Linked DNA regions of Lonchura striata. The protein of the gene in region 1 binds, or shares a complex with, the protein of each later gene. Links are inferred from orthologs where the notes say so. Each region holds a gene or a part of one and is shown in the gene's direction. Other genes may lie near its edges.

The links.
Region 2: the proteins of YWHAZ (region 1) and MAP3K5 are in contact, whole or in part, in a crystal structure (PDB 6EJL), measured with the Homo sapiens proteins. The link is inferred for Lonchura striata from reciprocal best matches to the Homo sapiens genes YWHAZ and MAP3K5. Residues at the interface, in NP_001129171.1 of Homo sapiens: Val46, Lys49, Asn50, Arg56, Lys120, Arg127, Tyr128, Glu131, Gly169, Leu172, Asn173, Val176, Tyr179, Glu180, Ile217, Leu220, Asp223, Asn224, Leu227, Trp228; in NP_005914.1 of Homo sapiens: Ser964, Ile965, Ser966, Leu967, Pro968, Val969.
Region 3: the proteins of YWHAZ (region 1) and CFTR are in contact, whole or in part, in a crystal structure (PDB 5D2D), measured with the Homo sapiens proteins. The link is inferred for Lonchura striata from reciprocal best matches to the Homo sapiens genes YWHAZ and CFTR. Residues at the interface, in NP_001129171.1 of Homo sapiens: Asn38, Arg41, Asn42, Ser45, Val46, Lys49, Arg56, Arg60, Glu113, Phe117, Lys120, Arg127, Tyr128, Glu131, His164, Pro165, Ile166, Gly169, Leu172, Asn173, Val176, Glu180, Ile217, Leu220, Asp223, Asn224, Thr226, Leu227, Trp228; in NP_000483.3 of Homo sapiens: Arg764, Arg765, Arg766, Gln767, Ser768, Val769, Leu770, Asn771, Leu772, Met773, Thr774.
Region 4: the proteins of YWHAZ (region 1) and ITGA4 are in contact, whole or in part, in a crystal structure (PDB 4HKC), measured with the Homo sapiens proteins. The link is inferred for Lonchura striata from reciprocal best matches to the Homo sapiens genes YWHAZ and ITGA4. Residues at the interface, in NP_001129171.1 of Homo sapiens: Lys49, Arg56, Lys120, Arg127, Tyr128, Glu131, Gly169, Leu172, Asn173, Val176, Tyr179, Glu180, Ile217, Leu220, Asn224, Leu227, Trp228; in NP_000876.3 of Homo sapiens: Arg1007, Gln1008, Tyr1009, Lys1010, Ser1011, Ile1012, Leu1013.

Annotation. Positions count from the first base shown.
Region 1 is NC_134603.1:21,495,857-21,503,828, forward strand, and holds the start of YWHAZ (14-3-3 protein zeta/delta), read left to right. Parts: upstream 1-4,964; 5' UTR 4,965-5,072; intron 5,073-7,220; 5' UTR 7,221-7,230; coding exon 7,231-7,524; intron 7,525-7,972.
Region 2 is NC_134605.1:50,682,088-50,689,532, reverse strand, and holds the start of MAP3K5 (mitogen-activated protein kinase kinase kinase 5), read left to right. Parts: upstream 1-4,437; 5' UTR 4,438-4,897; coding exon 4,898-5,303; intron 5,304-7,445. UniProt on the Homo sapiens protein: Serine/threonine kinase which acts as an essential component of the MAP kinase signal transduction pathway. Plays an important role in the cascades of cellular responses evoked by changes in the environment.
Region 3 is NC_134607.1:34,225,391-34,232,449, reverse strand, and holds the start of CFTR (cystic fibrosis transmembrane conductance regulator), read left to right. Parts: upstream 1-4,059; 5' UTR 4,060-4,181; coding exon 4,182-4,234; intron 4,235-7,059. UniProt on the Homo sapiens protein: Epithelial ion channel that plays an important role in the regulation of epithelial ion and water transport and fluid homeostasis. Mediates the transport of chloride ions across the cell membrane.
Region 4 is NC_134610.1:24,034,372-24,041,799, forward strand, and holds the start of ITGA4 (integrin alpha-4), read left to right. Parts: upstream 1-4,417; 5' UTR 4,418-4,432; coding exon 4,433-4,617; intron 4,618-4,704; coding exon 4,705-4,826; intron 4,827-7,428. UniProt on the Homo sapiens protein: Integrins alpha-4/beta-1 (VLA-4) and alpha-4/beta-7 are receptors for fibronectin. They recognize one or more domains within the alternatively spliced CS-1 and CS-5 regions of fibronectin. They are also receptors for VCAM1.

The DNA of each region.
Region 1 (7,972 bases):
CCAACCATGCACTAACTCTCTAATATATATACACCTAAATCCATCCATATACAAAATAATTTAAAGATTTGAATTCAGGGTAAAGTATTACTTATGCAGGAGTCACTGGTACATTGCTTCTTTGGCTAGATTTGTAATTTTTATAAAAAATTAGACTACAAACAGATGAGGAGAGACTACAGAATGTTTGATGAGGCAGAGAGAAAGGCCTTGTGAGATCCAGCAGCTCCAACTACTTTCCACTCAATGATGGAAAATACTAGCCTTATCCACAATTCATGTTTTATCATTGGCACCAGACAGAGAGTCAGAATCTGACTCATTTTAGAACACTGGGGATGGGGGAGGGAACAAAAAAGAAAAGAATACTCTAAATGCATGCATCCTTCACTTAAGTCTTTCAGGATGGTCAACCTACAAGAGTGTCCCGAGGAAGAAGAGTATCCATTGATCCAAAAGCACAATCAGACTACAAAGAAGGTGAACAAAAGCTTCTGCAAAGCTTGAAGTTTGGCTTGCAAATCACAGGCAGTGGCCAAGGAAAGATAAGTACAATATATACCTAAAAATGTCAATAAATGTTTTTATTCCAGAAAGTAAAGGATCTTCCTTCTGCCAAATGGGAGAAAGAAATTCAAAACTCTACAGAAGCACATAAAGGCTGCATAAAAATACACACAGATGTATATAATCATGTAGCCAGAGAATCAGCCCAGAAAGGTATGTAACAAAATCACAACAGTCAGGATTTTAAGCAAGCAGCTTTTGAAAATGTAGCTCTTAACAGTAGAACACACAACAGAGCTGCCAGCTCTTCTTTTCTTCCCTCTGCAGGCCGTAAATTTGCAGAATCATCTCCTGGTCTCTGGGGAAATGCCCTTTGCTAGGCTGCCTTTGCTCATTTTTCTGTTCCCAGGAAAAAAAAAAAAGCAAAAAAAACCCCAAAAAAACCCAAAACCAACACAAACACCAACCAACAGTAACTCAGGACATCTCTATATTCTAGCAGCAGCCTGGTTAGTACCAAGAGTCACCACCACGGAGCCTTCCAGTCCTGACAGCATTCACCGACTTCTAAGAGCTATTCTTACGGATTTCCTGGGTTATTGCTCTTGCTCCTGTCTATGTGAGGTTGACCCCCAAAAATCATGACATACTCTTCTAGCATGGGGATAACCCAATCTTGTACTCATCTATTTTTAATTAATTATGTTTAAGCACAAGAAAGAATAACTAAGCACTTGTGGAGAAAGGATGAGAGGGAAGAACTAAAAGCTGGTTTAGAGGGGAAATAAAATATATCTGGAGTAATTTTTTCCCCTCCCCATCCCTCCATTTCTTCTTCTCATGTAAGAAAGTAAAGTAAGAATGAGTGTAAATAAACACGCATATAGGTACTTTCATATGCAAATGTTTCTAACTCTACAAATGAGTTTTTGCTGCTGGCTGCCGCCTGACAGTCTGAGATAGTGAAAGTGCAAGTCATCGAACAAAAAGCTGTGAGGAGAGCAACAGAGAAAAAGCATCTGAAGAAGAGGAAAGCTGCTTAAAGCCTTGGTATTTAAGAGACCGAGTTCCCTGGTCAAAACTGCAATATGCAAGACAAAATACAACATTCTACAGTGGGGGAAAAGTGCAGGAAATGTAAGAATAAAAGACAGCAGGCGAGTATCTGCTTAAGAGACAGCATATGCAAAGGTGAGTAACATCTAAATCCTTGGATCTGCTCCAAATGGCAGCGTTCATGAAATCCAGAGGAGTGGAAATGGTGTTTGGCAAAAATAGCCCACTTAAAGGGGAAAGAGTGCAGCGTCTATTGACGCACGGGGCTGCTAGCAAACACAAACTATGGTTAGTGGCAATTCGGGTTGTTGCAGGACATGTTCCGTTCCCTCCAAAACCAAAAGTAATGGAAAGGACAGAATGGAAAGGCTGATGTTTTCCTTCCACAAAACTATTAACGTTGCCTACAGTATTGCAGCCTACTTCACACAGGATTCCCCTATATTTCCCGGAAATATCAAAATGCAATACACATTTGTGCTTCATTCTAATGCAGGCTCCAGTCTGCAGGGTTCTTTATGCACTTTTAAGGATTATCATTTTTCTTGCATCAGTTAATTTTTTTTATCATGTTACCAGAAAATATTCAAGTACCTCTGAAAATGTATGCTCTATATTTGGGTGGTTGCCATTTCAATGAGACTTTTCTACAAAATAAGGGTTTTTAGCTTATGTTAAAAATGAACTCTGTAACATAACTTGAAACAAGATGCAGCAAATGCTGTGCCACCATACCATCTGTGTTCAAGTACAGCTCTAAAGCTCTCCTCCTATTGCTTCCTAAAGTGGAAAATAATGGTAAAAAATAAAAACATATAAAATGAAGCCTCGTGTATTGGAATAAATTATGAACCTGAGCCTTACAATGTTTGTTCCAAAAATCTCCCTCTGTACCTGTATAGGCCAATGAAGTATCATTTGGAAACCAAAGAGTAGGGTTATATTCTTCACATTTAAATTAAGTAACAGTGATGTTCTCACCTGACACAGCTAGTAAATTCTGGTGAGCTTCACTCTGCACATTATTGCCTCTTTTGCTTTTTTTAGCTCTTTTCACAAGCTTTCCAACAATATCCCATAGGAACTTGAGTGAAATTCATTAAACATTGGAGTTAATTGAAGGAACCAGAAATTATGAGAAATATATTTTTTAAAAATATCTTACTGTTAATGTGGAAGATGACAGAGGTTGATGGGCAAAACTTATATGGAGTACAAACCCCAACATACATCTTAGGCCATGAGGAAGGGTAGTAAGAAATCAGAAACAAACTCTGCAGGTAAAACGCCACCATGGAAAAACTAACTGCTCTTTATATGATATAATGAAAAAAAAAAGCCTAGTTCTTAAAAAGTCAACTTTGACAGGAGGATTTTAAAGCAGGACCTTTCTGATATTCAGTCAAAATACAGGATCACTGTTTTGAAGATGAAAGGGACGGCGTTCTCATCACTTTATCTCACTCACAGGTCCACAGTCACTTTGTCACTGCAGGGTGCAAGACCACACTGGGAAGCTGTCCTGAACTGCCTGGAAAAGAGAGAGAGGCGTGCAGGCAAGAGCAGGAGGCATCTGCGGGAGAACCTGAAGATGCTGTTATCTCTGGTACCGAACCAACCTGCTCCCGGCCACTCTAGAACAACAAATACATCCATAACTTCTTCTTGCTTTCCAGAAGGAAGCGCCTCACTCCTCCTACGCTACTCCCTCGCTGTGTCCCACCGACAGACTTTTATGGCTGTAGACATAAGTACAGGCCCGTCCTGCGCCGGGCTGCTCCCGCGGGAGCCGTTCGGGGATGAGCCGAGCGAGCCCCGCCGGAGCCGCGCCCGGGGCCGCCGCCGCCCGGGGCCGCCGCCGCCCGGGGCCGCCGCCGCCCGGGGCCGCCGCCGCCCGGGGCCGCCGCCGCCCGCTCCCGCCGCCCGGGGCCGCCGCCGCCCGGGGCCGCCGCCGCCCGGGGCCGCCGCCGCCCGCTCCCGCCGCCCGCTCCCGCCGCCCGCTCCCGCCGCCCGCTCCCGCCGCCCGCTCCCGCCGCCCGCTCCCGCCGCCCGCTCCCGCCGCCCGCTCCCGCCGCCCGCTCCCGCCGCACGGCCGGGACGCGGCCCGGGCACGTGACCGGAGCCGACTTTCCGTGCGGTTTGCGCCGAACGGGAACGGGGCGGAGAGCTCCCGGGTCTGCCGCGGGCACGGCAGCCTGCAGCAAGCCCCGGGGAGGGAATCCCGCTCTGGAGATGCTCCTGGCCCATGGCACTGCCAGATACAACACCTGGCCCTTTTCAAAAAATATTTCGACGTGCTTTCTCCATCTTATTACTCTCCATTTCATTTCTAATCCTGTGAGACAGTGCTGATCCCAGAGCCCAGGAGAAAGCAGGAGAGGTCAGGACACTGCATACTTGAGACAAAGATTCAAGCTGGGGGATGTTGTTCAGAAAGGGGACAAGGGAATGCCGACTTCCAAGACCTTTAGGAAACAGGGTGGGATTTTTTTTTTTCCAGAAAATGAAAAAGCATTTCCAACAACAGCAATATTTATTAATACTCTTCCTACTCCTGTCAGCACGTTCTCATCAACGTTTGGATGGTGCTGTCCGAAATGCCCGCTTGCCTTTCCAAGGGAAGGGGCTTCCAGAGGGACCGTCCTGCGCCTGCAGAGCCGCTGAGCGCCCATCCGCCAGCCCCGGGGGGATCTCCCAGGGCGCTGCCGCCGTCCCCGGCCTCCCATCCTCCTCTGGCCCTCTCGTTTTTAACGCCCAGCACGAGTCGCGCTCCCGGTGCAGGATGAGGCTCCGGGCGCGGCTCGATGCGGAGCGCTCCCGCGGCCGCGCGTGTGCCGGGACAGTCCCGCTCCCCCCCAGCGCCCCGGGGCTCAGCCACCCGCCACGCACGGGGCTCGGCGGGGGTTACGGGGCGGACTGGGCGCTCGGGGCGGCACAAAGCCTGGAGAGCCCGCCCGGGGTGCGCGGGGGGCGGCGGTGACATCCGCGCACGGCCCGCGGCCGCACGAGGAGACGGTGCTGCCGCCCCCGCTCCGTGCCGCGGGCGCGGGCACCGCTCCGCCGCCCCCGGGCGGGTGCGGAGCCCTCCCCGCCGGGCCGGGGCGGGCGCCGCGGCGGGGGCGGGACGTGGGGGCGGGCCGCGGCCCCGAACCCGCGGCGCCCCCGGGACCCGCGGGCCGCCCCGCTCGGCTCGGCGGTGGGGCGGGGGTGCAGGCGCGCGCCCGCGGGCGGGGCCGCCGCCGGCTCTGGGCGTGACCGCGGGCGGGGGAGCGGGGGGGGGAAGGTTCGCGCGCGCCCTCGCGCTCCGTTGCCATGGCGCCGCTTGACGTCACGGGCGGCGCGCGGCCCGCGCGGAGCGGAGCGGTGATTGGCGGAGACGCCCCGTGCGCGGCGCCGGGAGAGGGAGGGAGGGAGCGAGGCTGCAGCGCCGCGAGCGCCAGAACCGCACAGTCCGCGCCGGCCGCCCGCCCGCACCGACGCACCCGCGCCCGCCCGCCCGCCGCGCACAGGTAACGGGGCCGCCGCCCGGCACCGGCTCCCCGGCACGCCGCAGGTCGGGAGCACTGAGCGGGGCGGCCGGGGGACAGCGCCCAGCCCGCCCCGCTCCCCCCACCCCCGGCGCGGCTCCACGGGGAGGGAGCGGGGCGCGGGGGCCGCTGCGCGGGGCGGCGGGGGCCCTTCTCCGCCGGGGAAAACGGGGAAAGCACCGGCGGAGGGGGCGGCAGGTGAGGGCGACCCCGCGCCCGCAGGGAGGGGAGCGCCGCCCCTGCCGGGCGGGGGCCGGGGCGCGGGCGGCGGCGCTGCCGGGTGTGGTCTCCCGCCGGGAGCCCTGCCCGGGCGCGGAAGAGTCGCCGCGGCCGCGCTCCCTTCCCTCCCTCCGCCCAGGCCCCCCCCTCGCCCATCCTCCCCGCCCCGGCCGAGGGGTCCGGGCGAGAGCGGCGGCTCCCCCGGGACTAGAGGGGGCTCCTCCTCCGCCGCTCCCCCTCCCCCGCGCCGAATCCCCCAGGGATGGACCCGCGGGCTTTCCCTATTCCGGGGCGGGGACGCAGCATCCTCCCCCGGGGGCGCTGGGCGGAGGGGAGCGGGATCGGGGCGGGCCGGGCTCCGGCGCCCACCCGCCGTGACAAAGGCGGCGGGCGCGGCGCTCGGTGTCCCCGCGGCGGGCGCGGCGAGGAGGGCGGGAGGGAGGGAGGGAGGGGCGGCCGCAGCGCCCCGGGGCCGCCCGCCCGCCCCGCCCTCCGCTCCGCCCGCCCCCGGGCCGCTCCATTTTCTGCTGTCACCGCGCTCCCCGTGCCGGAGCCGCGGCAGCGCCCAGCCCGCGGGGGCGGCGGCGGCCCGCCCGGGGATGCTGCCGCGGCAGCCTGCGGTGCCCCGGGGACCGGCGGCGGGGCCGGCGTTGTGACCGCGTTTGCCCCGGTCAAGCCGAGTGGTAGATAACCACCACCAAAAGCTCGCTTTAAAATGGCTCCTTAACCCCGCCGCGCGCGGTTGGGCAAGTTCTCCAACGGGCGTTTGCACACAAACGAGTTTGTGCCTCCCCGTTGGGGACAGGAGCCGTTAAAATTTGCAGTCACCTGGAATGTTAAAATGTGCTTAGTTTATTCCCAAAGATGGAACACAAGCCATGCCATTGTTTCTCCTAACGTCACATAAAATGGCAAAAGTCTTAGTGGTTAAAAATGAAAATGCTTGGTTGGGGTGTCTGGAACGTACAGAAATAGATAAAGCACTCATGACCAAAACTGGTTCATGCTTTAATAATCTTGTTAAACTTCGAAGGATAATGTATCCCCTAAGCACATTCCTCCAAATGATCAAGTTAGGGTACACAGAAAGATGGGGGGTGAGGCAGAAGTATTTTTGCTTCCTGTGCCAAAAGAAATTTCTCAATACCTCTGTGCTGATAAGACAGGTTCTGAAGTTTTTCTGCTAGGTTGTGCTGTCTGAAATACTGATGTTGAGGTCATATTTTTAAGTAGTAAAATTTTCTTTTGTCTGTGAAAGCACAGCCTCCCAGGCAGAGCAGCAATATCTGATACAGAACATCCCATAATGGGGATTCCCATTTTGGGAAAGGGAGTTAGCATTGTGGGAAGGTGTACAACTCACAATTTAGATATTTGTTGCACTATGACTTTTTAACATCCAGTGTGGGATTTGATTTGCAGGTGTTTATGTGAAGTACCTCTGCATGTAACTGATTCTGTTAAGGTTCAGAATGCTGCTTGATATTCTTTGTCCAGCCTTTATTTGGTTGTCTCCTGTGGAAAGCTTACTATTGGATATTTTCTTTGTCAGTTTTGCTACACTGATAATGTAGCCTTATGAAAAAGTGGTGGCAAAGAATTAGGATCGTTTTTGTGCATAAGATAGAAATTATTTGGTTTCAGTTCACCTTTGGATGCTTTTGTTTGTGTTTATTAAAATAACATACTTAAAAGTTTACAGTTTTCAGGAGGAAGCAGTGGTTTTAACTCTCTACTCCATGTGTCCATGTGTTTGAGCAGCCAGTGCTGCTAGTATGCCTTGTGTGCTGGATTTCAGTTGTGTCTCTTCCAGTTCCAAATTAGAGAATACACGGTGCTCTGCCTTTGAAGTTTAAACACCTTTGTCCTTGACCAATGTCTGAATAATGCCTCGCTATTTTTCCTCTTCAGAAATATCAACATGGATAAAAATGAGCTGGTGCAGAAGGCCAAACTGGCTGAGCAGGCTGAAAGATATGATGACATGGCAAGTTGCATGAAATCTGTGACTGAGCAAGGAGCTGAGTTGTCCAACGAAGAGAGGAATCTTCTCTCTGTTGCCTATAAAAATGTTGTAGGAGCCCGTAGGTCATCTTGGAGAGTCGTCTCAAGTATTGAACAAAAGACGGAAGGCGCTGAGAAAAAACAGCAGATGGCTCGCGAATACAGAGAGAAAATTGAGACTGAGCTAAGAGACATCTGCAATGATGTGCTGGTGAGAAATAATGAAACTGTTGATCCATTTTTACTTAGAGTTGCAAAGTAAATGGTGCTGGGCCCTCTGGGACTGTTTTTAGTCTGTCAGTAAACCTGTGGTCTCCTATGCTATTTCTGTTTAAAAAAATGTCTGAATTTTTCTTTCCCTCTAATATGCTGATTATTTATATACAAATTATAGTTATGAATGCTAATAAACTTGGAGGCATGTAGAAACATTGTACATAAAGTAGTAGTTAAGAAAGCTTAACGTGTTTCCCTGAGACTGAACTATATGCAGGTTTAGTTTGGGGGTTTCTCCTACCCCAGTGCCCCTTCTGCCTTAAAGCAGCATATGTATCCTAGATGTCTTTGGTTTCTGCAATTTTAATGTGCTGCTGTGGTTGTAAGAGGTAGTTCTTACTCTACGGAAATTGTGCCCCTCCCTGGGTAAGATGATGTAATGT
Region 2 (7,445 bases), on another chromosome or scaffold:
CCTTCACCACCTTTGTTGTCCTTCTCCGGACTTGCTCCAGCACCTCAAGGTCTGTCGTGAACTGAGGGGGCCCCGAACTGGACACAAGACCTGAGGTGTGGCCTCACCAGCCCAGAGGGAGAATCCAGCCAGATTCTTCCAAACAGACGGATCCTGCATGCAGCAGTAGATGGCAGCCATGTTCCACGCAAAAAAAAAAAAAAGAGTCCTCAGTTGAAGGAAAAAAATCCCCAACTACACTGAAATTCAAAACACAATATAATTCCAATTAAAAACGGGAAAGTTGCGTAGTATGCAGTTTTCAGCTAGCTTTATGCAGCTGTCACTTCTCTATGCTCTGCTCGCAGAAGTACCCTCCTCGTTAGCATTAGAGTAAGTGTTTGGGATCCTTACTGCAGTATCTCCACCCTTTCAGACCCAAGAGCTCTGCTCTGTTACAAACACGTCTCTCATTTCCTCAGCTTGCTAGCTGACAGCCAGTTTAGGTGTGAGCTGAGCTGGCAACCATCATTGCTGTGTGCACAAATCCTTCCAAAACCCTTGATGGTCATCAGGAACAGTAATCAGAAGGGCTCGAGTCCAAGAGTTTGAACAACTTATAAGAAGAGCTTTTCTACCAGAGAAGGTAGAATGTGAGCTATTTCCTCATGTGCAAGGGCAGGTAGCTTAAAACACTGAAAATATTCAAGGAGAGCAGTTAATTTTTGTCTGTCTTTTAAACTATTGAACCATTCCCTAGGCTCCATGCCATCAAGATTTTCTTCCACAAGTGAATGCTTATTGACCGATAGAAGCATAGAGATGTTTCCAGTTGAAATCTTCATATCATCATAAAGCTGAATGTGTTGCAGCTTTAGAAAAAGCATTTAGAATCCCAAGGTTCATTTAAGATTGAAGAACTGGCAACATTGAAAATAAATAAATAAAAACAACCAATGGGATTGCAGTAAGGAATGCAAAGGGAAAAGACTCCCCTTATATGTCTAAACTGAGGGTTATGGCATTTGGAAGGAAGAGGCAGTTAGCATGGAGGTTTTCTGGAAGTTCAAAAGAATAAAAGAAGCAAGAGGAGGGAAAGACACTGGAGCAAATGAAGATTTAGACATGGAGATTTAGAAAGAAATGTGAGAATTATGAGGAAAGAGTATGAAGCAAGAACAGCACACAATCTTCACCATTCTCACAAGAAAAGGGCTACAAGGAAGATCCTGACTGGTGAAATATCCATCCCTGATGATGTATCCACATTGTTCGGTCAGGTTTTGCTGGCTGCCTCCCATATGCACCATGCTGTAATTTGGTAAGCAGATTCCCCATGTTATTCCTATTCCATGATCAGCTGCATCCCTACACAATGGCCACCAGTCTCTATTTACCTTCTGCCCGCACTTAAATATTGTTTTAGATGTTCAGTGTGACTATAAGTGTACCTTTTCTTAAAGACTGGCAGCTGCCTGCCTCAAAATACTGCCTTCTCCCTGCTGAACTTAGAAGTTACTTCTCATTGTCTATAGTGATATACTTAGTCTAATTTTTTTGATAGCTTTTAGAAACAAGGTTTTCTAATTTCAGTTTAACCATTTCTAGTACTTGTGAGAGTTTTGGCCTAAAGGTTACAAATATTGCATTAACTTATGTACTTTTAATATCTCATTCAAATTTCTATATCTCCAAGTTTCTTAAAATTCTTTTGGGTTTTTTTAGACACTCATAACTGAAGGATGCTGGACTCCTGAAAACTTTTTCCTGTTTATCAGTGAAGAATTTACAGTGAATTTCCAATCTCTCACTCCTATGTTATCCTGTAGTTAAATAAGACGTCCTTAAAGGATTGATGAAATTTCACATCCATTTTAAACCCAGTATTTGTGGCGATAAATTTCAGTTTATTTTATTAATTGTATCCACATTAGTGTAAACATTCAAAATGAAGATTTGTCTAAAATAATTTTTCTGCCTCTACTGGACATGGATGGCCACAATACATGAAAAATATAGATTGGACAGAGTTATATTTAGATTTAATCTCTATAAATCGGGATACATTTGAATTGTCTTTTTTTGTTTTGGACCTTGTTTATACTAGTTGGATCAGCTAAATCAAGCCTGGGATATTTGTCATGTGCTCTTTGTAACTCATCAACTATTGCATTTATATTTGCAACTAATAAAGTTGGCAAACTCTTGGATGTTAAAATTATAATTATGGTTAATACCAGAGGTAAATGATTTTTAGCTGTAGAAATATATAACAAAGAGAAGGTTGTTATTTCAACAAGTCTACAGCCACCTGGTTGTTCCAAGTTTTTCTCTGTTTTGTCTCTGAAAAAAACAGAGCTGGAACAGGATGGTACTGAATCATGATTATATACAAACCATCTGGTGTTAAAGATGTTAATTTCACAGCCCTTGAGAAACAAGTGAACAAGGTAAGAGTACTTCTGATAACAAATGGGCTGTTACTTCAGTTTTTAAAAAGTCCTTGGAATTATCTCCTAATCAAAAATGAAAACAAAAGATGTCCTAAATGCCTGTTGTTCATTTCAGAGAGCGAACAGATTAAAATATATATTTTCACTTTATAAAACCATCAGCAACTTGTTACTCAACAGTATTTTGATTTTTTTCCCAGTTTAGCGCTCAACGTCACACATAGCCAAATCAGTAGAAAAAGTGCCTTGTATTTGGAACAGACATGGTGCTAATAATGAAGCAAGCCTCACAAGTCAGTAATGCTAAGTGGAATAGCATGCTTCTTCCGTCTCCTTTCAGTCCATGACTTCCTTCTGCACTTGACAAACACAGGCTGTTCTTGAGAACAACAGAGACATATTGTTCTTGCTTCCTGTAAGGTGATGTAAGTGCAATGTTGAATGGATTAACACCAATTCTGCATTTTATGTAAAACATCATAATTTAGAAAAACACTTTGCCATTCAGACTGTGGCAAGAAACAATAACCTACTGTATCTGGCAGATGAGCAAATATTAACTTTTCCCTGTAAATTAGTCTTTAGTTTGCTTGTCATCTTCCCACCCCATTTACTGATTTCTTATCAGCAGAAGTAAATGCCAAGCATATCTTGTTGAAAAGGGGACTGCTCAATGCAAAAGCAAACAGAGCTACTGAAGCTACTGCAGTGAGTAATTTTTCTAATTATTCCAGAATTGATCTACAGAAGTAATGGAAAACAATGATACAGGAGAAGGCTTTGTGCCAACAAGTGGATTAGTCTTAACATCAATTTTAACAGGATGGGACCCATTGATATAACATATAAACAAAGCTAATAAATGCTGGTTTTTCTTCTCTCTTGTACCCATTTAATATAAGCCCTTAAAAAAGGACATTTGAAAAATCATCCAGTTTTACAGTATTTATACCCAAAACCAGACTGCTGAAGTCTCAACATTATTTCCTTTCCCAATCCATTTTGAATTCCCCAGATATTCAGCCTTGTACTGCAAACAATCTGAACTTGTAGGGCATCTTTTCTTCGAATTAAGGACTATTTCTAATACCAAAAGATCTTGTCCTCTGCTAGGTGCTATACTATACACAGCACAGTTTTTGGCTATATGCTGCTTAGTGCTATTAGTTTCCTTCTCTGTGAATTAATGTTTTTGATAATTACCAAGCTTTCAAGTATTCTTGACAAGTAAATTGCAGGTGAATGCAAGAAACCGACATATTTAATCAACATACAGGGGTAGTTTTCCAGTTTCCGAGTGCAGCGCTTGCAAAAGAATAAGGCTGGTCCTGCTCAAAGCAGCCATAAACCCTTCAGTGAACTTGAAGCCGTTCGGGAACACAGAGCGAGGCAGGTTCAGGCGGCGGATAATAGCAGACGGCAAAGGCTAATGATTAGTCAGTCCTGACACTGCTCTCAACTCACTGCAAACACTCAAAGCATTTACTCCTGACAAGCTAGTTAGAGTACGTGTGCCATCAAAAACAAACAAGAAAAGCAGGAAATTATAAAAATCCCTTTAGCAGGACCAGGTTCAACGCACAGGGAGGACCTGGCTTCTTGCAAACACAGGCTCCTTCAGTGAACATCGCTGAAGGCTCCGGGGCGCACAGGGCCCCCGCCGTTTCAGCAGCGGGGAGGCGCACCCTGACTCCACAGATTTGAAGCGCGACCGTGGGCTCGTGTTAGGGGACAGCATATTACAAAATAAAGCCCCGCAGGAGACGGCAGGGCCGCCCCGGTCCTCTCCAACAGCCCGCACCCCGTTCCCTCCCGTGGCGCCCCGACGAGCAGGGGTGACCGAGCCGGGACTTCCCAAGAAGAGCGGCGTCCTTCCAGGCTGACAAGCCCGTGAGGACACGACACGACTCCCCTTCCTCGAGAGCTCCCACTCGGGACGCGGCCAGAACGCTGAGCACGGGGGCGGAAAAGGTTATTTCTGCCCGGAGGCGGGGCCGGAGGAGGTGCCCGGTGCTGGGGCCGCCCCAGCCCGCGCTGCCAGTGGCTCCGCAGCTGTCGCTCGGCTGGAGCTGGGGCGCCGGAGAGCGATCCCACAAGTGGTTTATCCCCGCGGCCGAGGAATTTCGTCCAAGGAGTACAGCGGCCGGAGGACGAGCGGAGTGTCGGGGGTGGCAGGAGAAGGAGGCCGGGCTGCCGGGGGTCGGCGCGCCGGGTAGTCCCTGCAGGTGCGGAGGAGAAGGGAGCGGCGCGTCATGGTGCCGGTGGCAGGCACGGAGGGAGGCTGTGCTCATCTCCCTGTCTCCGACAGCCTTCGCTAGCGCCCGAGTGGGAATCCCTCGCTTCAGCCCGTTCGCCTCTCCCCTCCAGCAGCTCAGCGGGACCGCTCCGGGGCGGGCGGCGCATTATGGCATCCGCCTAACCCCGGCCAGCGCAACAGAGCCCGGGGCTGCTCTTTCACCGCCGGGATGAACGACAGCAGCGAGGGGATCGTCAGCCTGCCGGTGCCCGGCCCGCCCGGCGGCGGGACGCCCTGCGAGGAGGTACTCGGCAGGAGAGCGCCCGGGGCCGACGCGGGCGCCCGCAGCCTCCCGCCCGACTTGGCTGCGCCGCCGCCCGCCGCTGTCTGGGCTGAGGACGCCGCCGCCGCCGCCTGCCCGAGCACCGCGGCGCGGGCCAAGGGTGGCGGCCGGCGGACCGCGGTCACCTACGTGATCAACGAGGCGAGCCAGGGCCCGCTGCTGGCGGCGGAGAGCGGCGCCCTGCAGAGCCTGCGGGAGGCGTGCGAGGCGGTGGGGGCCGCGCTGGAGACCCTGCACTTCGGCAAGCTGGACTTCGGCGAGACGGCGGTGCTGGACCGCTTCTATAACGCAGGTGAGGACTGCCCGGCTGGGGCTGACCATCGCCGCCGCGGGACCCGCTCGGCCAGGGCTCGCCGTCGCCGCCCCGGGTTCACCGCGGGGCGGCGGGAGCAGCTCCGGTCACCGACTCCTCCGGGGGCCGAGCCCCCGGTGCCCCCGCGGCCCCCGGCTGTAGTGACACCCCCGGGTGGCCACGGCGGGTACCTGGGGAGGCAAAAGTGCGCCAGAGCCCACTCTTATCCCCCGTGCTAATGAAGAAGAAACTCTTAGGTCAGCGAGCGTGCTGTGAATCAGTGCTGGTGGCTGCCACCGGCAGGTTAAACGCTCCCGGGCTGTTTTCTCTCGGTTTCCTAACAGAGTGCGGGGATGCGAACTTGGACTAATACGATGAGTGCGGGCTGAAACAGACAGGAGCTGCGAGGCCATGGGAGCTTTGAAAAGCAGATTTGACACCAGATGCATAGGGACAATTTCTTAGTGCTGACACGGCAACTGGGACGCTCCATGTGTTTGTGGTTGAAAGTTTGTGCTTTTGATATTGATTGCATATAATACATATGATGGATGCTTTTGAACAAAAAGCTGCGCACACTGATCAGGTTAGTTGGCAAGAGTACCCAGGGCTGCATGCTCTCACCCCAGTTTGCCAGCTGCATGGCAATAAAAGTACAGCACCTTTATTTGAAGTGTGGTGGCCTGATGTTCTGTGTTACGATGTACATGGCCCCGTTTGTAAAAATAATAACTAAAACTTTTCCCCATCTGCTTATCTTACCGACAGATACATAGTGTGAATGTAGAATAAAAAACACCCCTGCTTGCCAGATTTTCAAAGACTTCATACAACTAAGTTTATAGTACTTAATTAATGGCTTTATGCTTTTAAAAAGATCAGAAGCAGGACATTGACCTGACCAGCAATTTTAAGTTTAATGTGTGATGTGGCTTTGGTGTGTATGAAATACATGCTAAAAAGAAGTATTCAACGAGTTTTGTCAGATACTGTCATTTCCTCTCCTGGGAAGGGGTGAAGAAAAAGGGAAAGCAAACTCAAACAAACAAAAACCTCCTGGCAGTATTGTAACCAGTTCTCACAAAAGGCTTTTCATGCATATACCTGTCGCCTCTTTGAAACTTTGCAAGCTTTGCCTCATGGACTGCTATCAGTTCAGTGAAATGGGAAATTCTTAAGTGTGCACTTACAGCTTATTAGTTTTGCCCCATGCAGTGCTATTTCCTTAAAAGTAACAATTCTCAGAAGTCAGAGGGGCTGTCCTCACAGGTGGAAATAGGAAGGCCACAGAGTTTCATTATAGAATTTTTATGCTCTGCATTCAGCTTGGAGAGATTTCAAGCACCCTGACATCTCTTCATTCCAGAGCAGGTGAAACCTGAGAGTCTTGTGGTTCTGTTGTGGAAGCTGTTGCATAGTGAGGCTTAGGAAGTTGAATTATCCGTGATGTTTTTGTGCCTCTTATGTTGGTTAATTTTTAGACTCTGAGCTTTTCAATAGGCGGGGTCTTGATAGTTCATGGACGCTTTTCTTGTAATGGGAGATTTGACTTGAAGTGGGCCCCTTTTAATTCTGGCAGTAGGCGTCTGTCTGGCTTATAGTGCTACATAACTGCATGCTTATGTAATATAATTTGCTTATTTCAATGGCTTTTCAGCAAACTGTAAATGTGAAAATATTACTTTTTCTTTTGTCCTCTTTGGCTGGAACTTAATGGAACTGTTGCAAACCAGAAAAAGTACTTTGTCATTCTGCTTTAGTAGTGAAGTCCATAAACATGTAAAGAACTAGGAGAGTTCATCACCTCCAGTGCCTGGACTGAAGAGAGCTAGATGTAGTTGTTTGTGTCTGCTCCACATATACTCTGTACTGTCTGAGCTGACCAGTGATAAACTAGCTGCAATCTCAAAAGCTGTGTTATGCTGCTGTTCTTAGGTCAAGAGGGATCTGTGGATTTTCATACTTGTTTCTTTATCCCTGTTGCACTTTCTACAGTCTTTCTGTTTTTAGGAATTACTTGTTCTCCAAAAGCTTTAAAATAGTGAAAAAATCTCTCTCAGATTGGGCACGACATTAAAGAGTAGAAGCTGTGTGGTAGAAGAATGCAAATTTGGAACAGTGTAGGGAGCAAAACTGAAATGG
Region 3 (7,059 bases), on another chromosome or scaffold:
ATGGCACAGGGAACCAGCTTTTCTCATCCTCCCATTCTCTTGCCTGGCTGTCTAACTCAGCCTCACTGTGTTTCCTTCTGAGTAAAGTCCAATAGATGGTAGTTGTGGATACATCTAAAGGATAAAGTAGCTGTTGTCTCAGTGTATCAAGTTGCATCTCTGTAAAAGTGAAAGAAGTTCATGTAAATGAAATGCATAAATAATACTTAAGTTGGAGATATTTCAGTCCCTAGAGAAGAACAGAAATATTACATTTTATTCCTGCTCACAGTAATGCTAATGACAAGTTTTATGCTCATGTCAGTTCAAGATCCCTGGGAAGGTTAGGACTGAAATAAGCAAGGAAATGTACCAGTGGAAACTTTGTGGGTACATGAGAGAAAAATGACAATAAATATGTAAAACAAAAGCAAGAGTTTATGAGTTTTTGACTGAGAGATGTGTGAATGTGAAAGCATCTGATTAATTTGCAAAACTATTGGATCACAGAGCAGGGAAATCATTATTCCATGGGTTTTGATGAACCATAGCTGGTACTTAAGAAAGTAGGCAAAGAAATATTCTAAGTTTAGAGAAGAAGTGTTCAAAATTAGGGAAAGTTCGTGGAATTTTTCATGTAAGAAAAATTACATAATCAACGATGATTGATGGGATGTCTTTGTTAGTCCCAAATTTGCTACCTGTGTGCAAATCAGCTGTTATGGTAATAGCCACAGGGAGATACTGTTATGAAGAATACTTCATTACCAGTTGACATTTTAAGTAGTTTGGACCTGATCCACTAATGGTTTCAAATTACTAACATACCTCACTTTCTAATGTAAATTAAAAAAAAAAAAGTCTAATCCCCTGCTCAGTTTCTGCTTTATTCACTTGTACCAGAGATCCAAAGGCTAGGAAGAGAAAGAGCCTGTAGCAGGCTAGTGTGTACTGTTTTGAAGAATAGGTTTCCACTCTGACTTGTTGATCTCAAAGGTCTTTTCCGACGTAGTTGATTATCTGATTCTGTCTTTAAATTAACATTTTACCGTTTTTTAATTAAGTGAAAAAAAATTGGTAGATCTAGGTGAGCTCCTTGCCAGGGCCTACCCAAAGAACTTCTCTCAGAGGCCGATGGAGCATATGGGATCCCAGCCTTGTCCCGGCTCCTGCCGGGGGGATCTGAATCCTGGTTCGCGTTCCTACTTAAGCTCCCTGACCTCTGCAGGGGCTGTGGGTCTGGCGGCTGTCACTGCCGCATCAGGGAGCGGCGGGAGGTGCCTTCCAGATGCCCAGCACTGAAGGCCCGGAGAAGCTGATCCCGCCTTCTTCCGCATCGCTGCCGCGGTGCGATGCGGGGTGCGGTGCGGTGCCCAGTGCAGTAGGGTGTGCAGTGCAGTAGGGGGTGCATTGCGGGGTGCGGTGCCCAGTGCAGTAGGGGGTGCAGTGCGGTGCGGTGCGGTGCCCAGTGCAGTAGGGGGTGCGGTGCGGTGCCCAGTGCAGTAGGGAGTTCATTGCGGTGCGGTGCCCAGTGCAGTAGGGGGTGCATTGCGGTGCGGGTGCCCAGTGCAGTAGGGGGTGCGGTGCGGTGCGGGTGCCCAGTGCAGTAGGGGGTGCGGTGCGGTGCGGTGCCCAGTGCAGTAGGGTGTGCATCGCGGTGCGGTGCGGGTGCCCAGTGCAGTAGGGGGTGCATTGCGGTGCGGGTGCCCAGTGCAGTAGGGGGTGCATTGCGGGGTGCGGTGCCCAGTGCAGTAGGGGGTTCATTGCTGTGCGGTGCCCAGTGCAGTAGGGGGTGCATTGCGGTGCGGGTGCCCAGTGCAGTAGGGGGTGCATTGCGGGGTGCGGTGCCCAGTGCAGTAGGGGGTGCATTGCGGTGCGGTGCCCAGTGCAGTAGGGGGTGCGGTGCGGTGCGGTGCCCAGTGCAGTAGGGGGTGCAGTGCGGTGCGGTGCGGGTGCCCAGTGCAGTAGGGGGTGCGGTGCGGTGCGGGTGCCCAGTGCAGTAGGGTGTGCATCGCGGTGCGGTGCCCAGTGCAGTAGGGGGTGCAGTGCGGTGCGGTGCGGGTGCCCAGTGCAGTAGGGGGTTCATTGCTGTGCGGTGCCCAGTGCAGTAGGGGGTTCATTGCTGTGCGGTGCCCAGTGCAGTAGGGGGTTCATCGCGGTGCGGTGCCCAGTGCAGTAGGGGGTGCATTGCGGTGCGGGTGCCCAGTGCAGTAGGGGGTGCATCGCGGTGCGGTGCCCAGTGCAGTAGGGGGTGCATTGCGGTGCGGGTGCCCAGTGCAGTAGGGGGTTCATTGCTGTGCGGTGCCCAGTGCAGTAGGGGGTTCATTGCTGTGCGGTGCCCAGTGCAGTAGGGGGTGCATTGCGGGGTGCGGTGCCCAGTGCAGTAGGGGGTGCATCGCGGTGCGGTGCCCAGTGCAGTAGGGGGTGCATCGCGGTGCGGTGCCCAGTGCAGTAGGGGGTGCATCGCGGTGCGGGTGCCCAGTGCAGTAGGGGGTGCGGTGCCGGTGCCCAGTGCAGTAGGGGGTGCAGTGCGGTGCGGTGCGGGTGCCCAGTGCAGTAGGGGGTGCATTGCGGGGTGCGGTGCCCAGTGCAGTAGGGGGTGCATCGCGGTGCGGTGCGGTGCGGGATGGGCTGGCGGCCCGGGCCCGGCTCCACTAGGTGGCAGGATGCCGAAGGGCTCCGCGCTGCTGTCCTGGAGCCTGGGCGGGTTTAGCCCTGCCTGTACATATTGTCTGAGGACATGATAAAATGCGGACAGTTTCCTGGAGTCCTGCCTGCCCGCGTTTCTTACTGGTTTTGTCATTAATAAAGCAGAATAGGGAAGGTTTCGAGGTCTGAGACACAAAGGAGCCCGGTGCAGTGACAGCCTAAGAGGGCACTTGTTGGCTCAGGAATCTAAGAAAAGAATTAGGCAAAGAGAAATTCTTTGTGAAAACACAGCAACGCGTAGCGAGAAACGTTGAAATAAAAAGTATCTGCAAAGTTTGCAAAAAGTAACAGCTGGTTAAATTGTAGCGCAAACTAAATGTAGAAAAGTACGTTCGCTTCTCTACAGAGCCAGTTTAGAGGGCAGAGTCTGCTTCATTCACAAAGCATGGTCTTTTCCATTCGTCTTTTTTAAGTTACAGAAATGAAAAGGCATTGGAGTGTATAAATATCAAAATAAAGCAGCAAATAAAATAAAATCCTGTACAGAATTAAATCAACATGTTCTCTTTTCTTGCTTCTTGTCATCTTTGTCTCTCTCAAATATGCTTTCTGCTGTGCGCCATTAAAGCAGTGATTTTGTTTGTATGTCACACATATAAAGCTTCAGATCTGGGTGTTTGAGCTAAACTTACTAAAGATACAGCTTCGGTTCCCATTCGTCTCGGTTCAGGTGCGGGCCTGACAAAGAACTTGAAAAACTGAAGCAAGTGTATTTTAAAGTCGGTATGATCGCGCTTGCCCGCACCCTTTCCTGGGGTGACCGCTCGCCCTCTGCCTTAAGCCCGTGTGCCGGTGCGCTCGCCCCCGGGACCGCGCAGAGGCGTGGGGCGCTGGACGGGGGCTTCTGGCCGCGGGTGCCCACCAAGGCCAAGCGCCGGCCCGGCTCCCGCGGGTCTCGGTGGGCTGCAAGCAGGCGCCCTGTGCACCGGGGCGGGCTCTGCGGTGAGCAGCTGCGCGCCCGGGAGGGCAGGGGGTGTCCACGCTCCGACGGGGCTGTCCTCGCTGCGCTGTCCCCGCCGCCCTGGACAGAGGGCAGAAGGCCCATCTGGAGGGGTGGCTTCCCCACCTCGGCACTTGGTCAGAAGAGGGGTTTAGTGCTGGGGAGAGGCTGAGGACCCGCGGTGGGGTGGCTCGGGAAGCTGAGTCGGCAGGTGGAGGTAAGGGGCTGGGCGAGAGCCGTCGGGGAGCCGGGGAGGAGAGGTGCGGGGGGAGCGGCGGGGCGCGCCCGGTGCCCGGTGCCGGGCGCGGCGGGAGGCGGGGGAGGAGCGGCGGCGGCAGCAGCGCACGGGCTGGAGCCCCAGCCCGCCCGCCTTTGAACCGGGGCAAAGCAGAGGCGGGGAGAGGGGCCGGGGCAGGAGGCGGACGGTGACATCAGAGCGGCCGGGCGGATAAGGTGGGAGAGCCGCAGGAGCGGAGTGGGCGAGCGAGGCGTCAGCGATTAGCGGCTGCCTCCGGTTCCCCGCTCACCGCATCTCGCCGCACCTCACCTCACCATGCAGAGGTCTCCCCTGGAGAAGGCGAACATCTTCTCCAAACTTTTCTTCAGGTGGGAGCCCCGGTGCGGCGGGACGCGTGCGGGCGGGGGCAGCGGGCCGGGCTGGGCAGCGGCGGGCGGGGAGCTCAGCGGGGCTCCGCGCCCCCCGCCCAGCCACTCCGGCGAGGGGGGAACCGAGCACTGGGCGCCCCGAGCTCTGTAGTGGTCTGCGGGGAGAGCGGTGGGAGTCTCGCTTTTGATGAGATCACTCTTTTTTGTTGTTGTTGCTGGGGTTTTAGCACCAGGAATGGGCTCTGTCAGGTGTCATAAACCTTTGCTGGACCCGAACAGATGAATTTATGACATAATTTGAGCAACCTTTGGTAGTTGCTCAACTAGTTAATCTCTTATTTCATGTAAACTTTGAGAACATCGTGGGGTGGTAGGGAGCAGAGGGGAAATGCTCTCAGAACAAGGATTCCTCCTGTTTGGCTCTTTGAGTGTTTAGCACTTGCTCAATGTGCAAGTATAATATATGATCTTACTGTAAACAGTTCCTTGCAAGCTTTGAATGTGTTCTCTTACAAGCAAACTCCCTAGTGACTTCTCTTTCTAAAAACTTCAAATAAAAAGAGAAGGAGCCAATACTAGTGCCTGGGCACAATGTACTTTGTAAGACAATATGGAAGCTGAATAAGTCTTATGTGACATCCCTAGAAATGACACTGTGAACTGGAAGGAGCAAATAATCTCTTTGGCATTGGCCCACACAGCACTGCTTTTGCCAGAGTACTGGTTCCCTCTTTTGTTACCGGGGGGTCTCTTGCATGGCAAGGAAGGGTGAGAGGAAATCTTGTGTAAGATGTGAACATGATGACTGAAGTGAGAGTGCATGGTGTAAAACTATAACATTGTTGTGAGGTCTCTGCCTGAAAAACTGAGGGCTTTTAGCTCACTTTAAAATCCTTTTGGGATAGCTTTCAGCAGGTTGGTCTGCACATTTTTGAAGTTTCTTAATGGGACTCTGTATGAGTCACTGTTTGCCTGTCTCTCCCCCTTTGGTGCATGTTAGCCAGATATAATAGCAGGGAATAATCCCAAATATAACCTGTTCCTAAAGTTTTACCAACATCCAGGTAAACATAGTGATCTTATATGTTTTCTCCAATGGTGCTGCAGTGGGAAAAAAGCCTTGTTTGCTGTCAAATACTGTTAGAGTCAAAGAGTATGCATGACAGGGGTGTACTGTGTACAGTAATGATGTACACAGTAATGTGTACATAAATGATGCTTCAGTCAGTGTTCCTGTCAAGTATAAGACAGAATCTGTAGGAAATAATTCTGTATCTTAATTTAGTAGCTTGAGGGGGCCACTTGCTCTATTTAATTTTATTTATTTACAAATTTATATGAATTTATAATCTTAGAACCTAGGGTGTTGAAGGTGTGAAGAAAAAAACCAAATAAGATAAAGCAAATACATTTCTGATTCCTACCATAGTGAAAGTTTTCATGTCTGAAACCAGATGCAGTTCATGCTCATTAAGTATGTAATTAACCATCCAGATGCCTGTGCTCACCTTTTAAATCACAGTCTTTAAGTCAATTGAATGTTGTTTTAATCATGTTTGTCATGCATGATGCATTATACTGTACCAGCTTTTGGTCAGGTGACTGTAACCAAAGTGATAATAATAAAATATATGAAGTTAAGGAGATGTTCATGATGAATATTAACTAGAGCAAAGAAATGGAAAAGAGATGTATGGAGAGAGATTGCTTTTTTCAGTGATAATGAAATAGTTGTTATCAAGTACAACACAGTACATGTTTCAGTGAAGTGACTTTTATGAGAGTCTGCAATGCATTTATGTGTGAAGTACCAATCTGAATATAATGTAATAAGTTGAAGATCATGTTAGCACAAGTGATGTTAAAATATTAACTATGATTGTTCAGGAAATCTTTCTGATAAATATATTACTATTTAATATTGTACAAACTGTTATCAGCTATAGATGCATAAACATCTTGGCAAGGTTTTATTGCTTCATAATCTATCCTGTTTGGGTGGGAGAGGCAGGTTTAACATGTGTTAAAGTCAGACTGTAGCTCTCTGCTCATAACTGAGTAGTTTCTACATGTATTGATTGGACCTTTTTTCCTTAATCCTTTATGCAAAAAAAGTTAGAAAATCTCTTGGTATAGAAAGAGTAGTATTTTATAAAAAGTGTTACCTTTGTATTAGTGATAGTGATACTACTGGGGCAAAAAAAATTGCTAGGAATAGTCATGATAGAAAGTATTTAAAATTAAAAATTCATTTTCACCCCAAATTTTAAATAGTTTTGGTTTAAAAACTGAGATTTGGTGGTTAAGAAACAAGTTGTTTTAGATCTTCCATTAGGGGGACACTTAGAAAAAAGAAAACACTAGATACTTAGAAGTTTGGGGTTTCAGAGATTGTTTTGTGTTTTGTTGTATTTTCCTTATTACATTTTCAGAGTTGATCTCTTTTGTTCCCAACCTCATGCAAAACATTCTTTCTGTTCTTTGGCAACTTTTGACCTTGCTTAAAGAAAACAGAGTTTTATGCAGAAGCAGTTAGATCATCATATGCTTAGCTTCATATTCATTGTGAAGATCCACTTTAGTCTTTATAAGCATTACTTACTTTCTTTTGGAGTTTTAGGGTTATGCAAGGTCAGGGACATACCTTTTGTCACAAACAATATCAGACTACTTTGCATTCACTTAGTTTTTATTGAAAATTAACTGAGATCAGGAAGTCTCATTAATTAATCAATTTTTACCTGTGAACTGGCACACAGAGGTATTGCTGGAGTTTCAGAAATGACTGCAAATATGAGAAAATTCTGATTTTATTACTGTTCTGT
Region 4 (7,428 bases), on another chromosome or scaffold:
TAAATTTACACAAAGTTTTTTCAGATTCTGTTCCATTCCCATTGCATCCAATCTCATCAGCAGACATGTGGAATCTATGGAAGTACAGAAATATGAAAAAAAAAAATAGAAACACAATATCAATAAGTGGTCAGAATGTTTTCAGTGTAGAGATGAATGTGTTGAAATGTTGATTCATTATGGAAAATTAATTATGGAAAAGTGTTGATTTAAATAAATTATTATTTTTTATGTTGAAATTCTCTGAACATACATATTTCCTTTTTATCTCAAAGAAATTAGATCTAACTAAAATATTTGTTTTTAAAAGTTATAATAATGAAAAAAATGCTACAACTCTGCTGAACCAGACTTTTACAAAGAAAGACACAGAAATGGTGCATGAAAACACTCTTTGTTTGAATTTCAGATGGGAAAGTTTCAAAAGTTCAGCAATTCCTTTGGGATGGGAAAAAAGGTTACTGCCCAATTCCTCTCAGAAACAGATATTTTGTTGTGTCTGATCTTGCAACTCAAGAATCTTTGACAAAATTTTAAAAAATAAAAAAGGATATGCAATGCATCAATCACACATATACATATAATGATTAATTTCCAGTCCTACCTATCTGTAAATCAAAATGCAGTTATTAGTTAAGCTGTTATTAACAATAATTATCTTTTGTTTGCTTCTTCTAGTCAGGTTGTCATAGTCATTGTCTGTATGACACTATTTTATGTTTAAATTCTGGAAAGCTCTTTTGGCAGATCAGTCTTTACTTCAGCAGCACAATTTTTCAAGGGAAGAAAAAACTTTTTAAAAATATTTCCTAAAAGGACATTATATGATTGTAAATATATGATAAGCTGATTAAATTAAAAGATTGTTTCTCTTTAACTGATTCTAAATGAAATTCAGATCTCTTAAGAGAATATAAACAAAATGATACAATTAAGACCCTTGCTAACATTTGCTTCTTTTTGGTGCATCAGACATCTGTGCTTAATTGTATTTGTCAGTGGACAATGCAACCTCTTCATGAGAACTCACATGTATCTTACAGCAGAGGGAAGATGAAGTTTCTTGAAGACAGCCTTAGAGGTAAGAGTGTATTTGCCTTCTATAATTTCTCAGATGACAGCATATGAATAGTAGCTTCTGTGGCCAACTGCCATTGTTGGGGGGTGGAGGAGGAGAAGCTTACATAAAAAGAAGATGTAGTTATGGTCTGACCAAAACCCTAAATTTTCCATGTTTCAGTAAATCAGAATGGTTTAGAAACTTCAAATTTGAAATAGCATTATTTAAGTACTTAGACAATTTAAAAATTAAACTTTCATGTCTTTCTAATTAGGAACAGGATCCCAACCACTGCTTGTTTTTATTTCGAATTCAGAGTAGATGTGGAGACACTCTTCCATAAGCAGCAGTAGGCTTATGTGGCACACAGGAGACCAGGGACAGCCACAGCTGAAAGCAGCCATATCCATGAAGATTTTTATCAACATGTGCTTTCATGTATTTATAACACAGCAAAAGCTTTTATGTGATCAGTTACCCAACACCAGCCCATACACTGGACTTAATTTAATACAAATGCCTTCCAGCTTAGGGAATCAAAAAGTATATATTCCAAAGAAGAAAGGTGACAAACATTCAGTATGAATGAATGTCAGAATCAGTATGTTCTTTATTCAGTAATTTTCTTACCCTTCTTCTCACTAGCACTGGTGAAAAGAAAGGAAAGAAATTGCTTCGTTTTAAGTCAGATGTGTAGGTTTTAACTTCGTAGACTTGCTACTTGTAGAAAGCTAAGGCTGTTACCTGAAAAAGTTCCTAAAGCTGCAGCATCAGGTTAAACCATCCTATAAATACAACCAATACAACTGGCCAGCTACAAATGTGATGTAGGTTTGGGGGCTTTTGTCTGAGTTATTTTTAACCCAGATCACTTCTCTGATGTGTTTCACTGCTCAGACACTGAACAGTATCAGCATAACAGGGTCACTGTATGATTCAAGAACAAGCAGCAAGAGATGAGGACAGTCAGATGAAATGCACACATCTGCTGTAAAAAATGTTGCCAAACTGCAGACTAATATAATTAACAAATCATCCCACTGGCTCCTCTGAAATTGCCTTAGATGGTGAACCAAATTCAAGCACAAGAGGCAAGTCACTGGGATATTTTTCTTCTAGTGTTATTAACCCACAAAGGACTGTGAGAGATGTGCTGTTGAGAATGAATAGCAGCAAGATGTTTTGGGGAGAACTTTTTTTATTATTTCAGGATAACTTAGATATAAACTGATACATAACTGATATTTGATTTGTAAATACAGGTACTTGGCTTCCAGTGTTGGTTCCACCTTTTCTGCAAATTCTCTAAATCTCTAATAAAACTCAAATTCTCTCTCCATTACTCCATATTGTCAGTTGCATTTATTCTGATCTCTTTCTAGTACCTGAATTGTACTGAAACCTGCAAAAATTTCTCAAAATATGGATTTCTGACTCTCCAGTAATTTGTATTCCACTGATTTCATGGATGCCTGATGGATCACTATCACATGCACTCTAGCAGAGTCTAGGAGACAACACACACATTTCCTCCTGACAGGTGATATAGAGCTCTCAATTTCATATCATAGCTGATAAACAGTTATGTATGCATCAATAATTGAATCCCACCACTTTACAATCTACCTTTTCCTGTCAGCTAGGAACACAGCCACTATCTCAACATGGTTCCAACATCACGGTGGTACAACCATGTTACAATTTTTCACCAACTAAACCACAATTTAGCATTTCAGTTTTGATTCATGCTTGTTTTGCTGCTTTGAAAATGAGGGTGAAAACTTCTTGAGTAGTAGAAATGCAGATTCACAGCTGCTGTTGATTGTTTTAACTCCTTTGATGTAAGTAATTGGAAGGAAGATGAATAGCAGCTGCGGAGCTGTTTGACTCCTTTGCACGAAACAGCCACCGCTCCACATCAGTCTCATCCGAAGAAGCCCTCTGATGGCTCTAGAGATGAGGAATCAAAAAAAGATACACTGATGACTGGCTGTCAGATCTTCCACTGTGCTGATCTCATTCCAGAAACTACACATCTGCATGTTTCACTCTGCATTGCCTCAGTGCCCCACTCTGGTAGTTGCTCAGCATTTTGCAGAAACGTGAAACTTTCCAAGGGGGGTATTTTCCCAAGAGTTTAAAATGCCATGTTCTAAATTTACATTAGGGAAATCTCACTGTTATTTCTAATGTGTATAATATTCAATAGTTGCAATCATACTGGATTTTAGTCCAGATTCAGTAAGTAATCTTTGTAAATAAATTTTTTTTTAGAAGTTCTTCTGTTCTTGTTTCTCAGATTCAAAATACTGTTATACATAGCTTATCCATATACAGGGATTATTTTAGCAACGGGGAAGACCTGGTATTCAAAGGATTTCAGTAAGGCAAGGTTTGCAGATAGAAATAAAAGCCTTGATTTCAGGATGAGCACAACTCAGTATGAGCTAAATCAAGAGTCAGCAACTGATTGCTGAAAACACGCACAGAAATGCTCCTCACTAAGATCAAGGGAGCCCTTACAAATACCAGATCTCTTGCACAATGCTCAGTTTCCTTTGTTCCTTTGCTGTCTGGAGGCATGGCCGCTAACTTTGTCAGCAACTGAAGAACTGAATAGGAATGTGCAAAAGTTACTCTAAAATGTACAAGAAGCGATGGGGGATTGTTTTGACTACATGACACGTGAAAAGGAAGGCGCCATCAGCAGTCTTGTGCAACAAGTCTTGGGTAGGCCAGTGCCCTGCTTGTGCGGCACTGGTTTCAGGAACCAAATACCCACACCGGGGGACAGCAGGCAAGGCTCCCTCAGCACAGCGACTGCGTGGAAGGCTTTCAACACAGGGGTACTGGGTTTCTTCTTAAATCTAAACAGAAAACTCAAATCTTCTCCACGCTTCCTTTCTCAGAACACGGTTCTGCTCTTGAGCCGCCCGCCCGCTGCTCGGCGGGAGATTTTAGGATAAGTTTCCAGTAACTCCTTCCCCCTTTGCGGGCTGGGCCGGGCAAGGGTGTCGAGGCGAAGAGATGGGGACGCGGCCCTCTCTGCTCCGCCGGTGCCTGGATAGCCGCGTCCCACGGGGGCAGTGCCCGGGGACGCGGGGGCCGTGTCCCTTCCGCAGCGTCCCCGTGGGCGCGGACGGGGCGGAGAGAAACCCGACCCCCGCCGCCTGGGCAGGGAGAGGGGCTGCGACCGCGCGGGAGGAGGCGGCGGCGGGGCCGTGCGACTGCCCCGTCCGCGGGGACACCCCCAGCCCGCGCTGCGGAGAGGGCGCCCCAGGGCGGGGCAGGGCGGGGCGGGGCGCGGCGCTGCCCTCTCGCCGAGCGGAGAGGGGGGAAGCCGGCGTCGGAGCGCTGCCGGCCGGCGGAGCCATGCGGAGCTGCGGGAGGGCGCGGGGCGCCGCGGGCTGGGCCGCCCCGCTGCTCCTGCTGTGGCAGTGCCTGCCGACGGCGCGGCCCTACAACCTGGACACGCAGCACGCGCTGCTCTTCCGCGGGAGCAACGGGACCTTCTTCGGGTACTCTGTTCTCCTGCACCGCCACGGCGAGGAGCGATGGTGAGTCCCCGGCCCGGCCGCCCCCGCGGGGGCCCGTCGCGCCTGGTCCTGGCCACGGCTCCTCACGCTGCCGTCTCTGCCCCGCAGGCTGGTGGCGGGCGCGCCCCGGGCCAGCTGGCCCGCCAACGAGTCGGTGCTCAGCCCCGGGGACGTATTCCGGTGCCGGATCGGGGGGAACTCCAGCGGAGGGTGCGAGCAGCTCCAGCTGGGTGAGTCGGCGGCGGGACGTGGGCGGCGGCCGGGGCCGGACGGTCCGTGCCCTCCGCCGTGCGCGCACCGCGGCTCCGCTCCGCTGCCGTGCGGGGCGTGCTGGGCCCTTCCGGCTTAAACTGCGGAGCGCTCTGCTTCTCGCCCAAGGGCCAGATCAGCGCTATCGCCCAAGGACTGCAGCGGCGGCATCAAGAGAGATAACAGGCACCAAAACTTAATTTGGAGAAGTTAGGTGTGACAGATACCGTTCCTGCAGCCGTTTCGCACCTTTCAGCCTCCGAGTCAAAAGCCCCATGAAAGTTTCGGTCTGAGCCTGCTCTGCGGAGAAGAGCTGGTGTAGCTTTCAGGGCAGCGGGTGATTGTAATAAGCGCAGGGATGGGAGGGTGGAAGTATGTGCCTAAGTCCTGTTTTCTCCTGCAAAGCATTCTCTTTGTAGAAGTCACCCTGAAGTAACTTTGAACCACAGTTGTCTTGCTGATAGGTTCTCCCTGCTTGCAGATTTATTGGAGTTTCAGGTGAACAGTTATTCATTTAACTTCACTTCTCTCTATCTCCACAGTCTCTATACTTAGGAGATGTAACTGGCTGCACTTACTCAACTTTCAAGCGTTTGATACTTGTTAAAAAGGGGAAGGCTTTGCACTGGGTTGCCATGAACACGTGTGAATTACTTTGGTTTCTCTTCCTGTCCCACTTGCATACAGTGCTGTTCACGCTATTTGTGTGCTATGAGAGAATCCTCCTCCACTTGTACTCAGTCACCCTCCGACCAAGAGTATCCCATCCGTTATGAGCACATCGCCCAGTAAGAAGCAGCGCGGGAAAAAGGCTATCAAAATATTTGAAAGCAGTAGCACACCATGAACTGGTGGCTGTCAGGGTGGAGCTCAGCGTTCTGTAACCAAAAAAATACTAAACCAATTATTTTTCTACATGTCTGTGCATAATACTTAGAACTGACAGGTTCTAGCCTTTCTTTTTTTTTTTTTTTTTGGCTACAAATCAATATAAGAGTTTCATTTTGTAACTGGTCTACAAAACCTAGGGTACTTCAGTGGTGTTTTTTATGTAGTCCTATAAGAAATAGACAAGCAGTTGTTGCTAGAAAGAATGGAAATTAAATTTATACCAGGCCAAGTAGTTTTTCGGAGTTTTGTTGATTAATTTCATTCCGGTACTATAGCCGTTTAAAAGTTAAACATAACAAAGAGATTTTTTTTTTTCTGACTGCCTGTTTATTATGAGGAGGCTTGCAAAAAGTCTAAGAGGTCAACTAAAATGGTGAAGTAACATATGCTAAAAGTCAATAAAAATAGTCCTTTACTGTGTGGGGGAAATAAAGGAAGGGTTGAAAGTTTCAGGTTCTTTGAAACCTACAAACATCTGCAGTGGCTCTCAGTTTGCTCATTTAGCCAATGGAGAAACAAAATCTCTAAAGAAATAATATGATGGGATTTTCTTCAATAGTGTAAGGGATTCTAATTGAAATGAGGCAACAGGTATATGAAAAAGTTTATGTGGTTCCAAAGGCTTAGCTTAACATGGCCTCTATTCCCAGAATTAAAGGCTGCAGGTTGCACAACATACTTTTTAAAACAACAGTTATACCACATGATATTTTTGCAAACTAGGTTTCCATTACTGCTAGATGACATCTTTGCATCACTAAGGTTTGCCTGTAGTATTTCTGAAGTTAAATAGAAGCTGAAAAGAAGTGCTGTATTGTAATACAGGTCATTGAGGTCAATGAAGAAGCCAAAGGCAGCTGTAGTCCATGGGATGTGAATGAAGTGGTATAGTATCTGAGGTCAGAGAAATATGCAGGGGAACTTGGAATTACAAAGCTGAACTTAATTAACTCTCATCTAACTCATTCAAGTTTGGGTTCTGATCTCATAGAATAGGGAATTTCCTTAGAAAAATGTGTGGCAATATATTGCACTGCTGAACAGGCACAATGAGAAATAAGTGTTGCTATCTTGCTCTTAAATAGTTGAACTCGCATTTTGTTCTGGTAAAAACATCTTTGAGGTGGTAACTTTCTAATTATAAGTCATGAAAAAGTATAGGTGATAACAGGCAATAGATGTGGCTTTCCAAATGTGGGGGCACTGTAAAAAATGGGTGTGAATTACTTAGAGATACAAATATGTTAAAATACTTTGTCGCTCCTTTTCACTAAAGTAGCCTTGAAACTGGCATAACTAATTAATGAAGGATTCATGAACAATTAGGAAGCCTCTGATCACACAAAACTGCTGTTGTCTTTTTATGTGTCACAAGTTCCTATCTGCTTCTTCAGTAGTAAAAGAGCTGCTGGGAGCAGTCTTATGCTGCAGTCATCACAGCATCTGGGATAACTCATCCAGACATACTTTAAAGAATGTTATTGTTCTTCAAGATGTTGCAGCCCCTGGGCCGGTTTAAGAACTGAAAAAAGTAATGAGATATGCTAGCAAGTCTCTGTTTTCCTAGCCCCTCATTGGCACTTTTAAATCTCTCTCTGATAGATGAACAGAAGAGTTTTCAGTCTCTTTTTGAGTACTAGTACTTCTGTTTAAGGTGTCAAGTGTTCTAGACTGCAGATTAATTTGTATTTG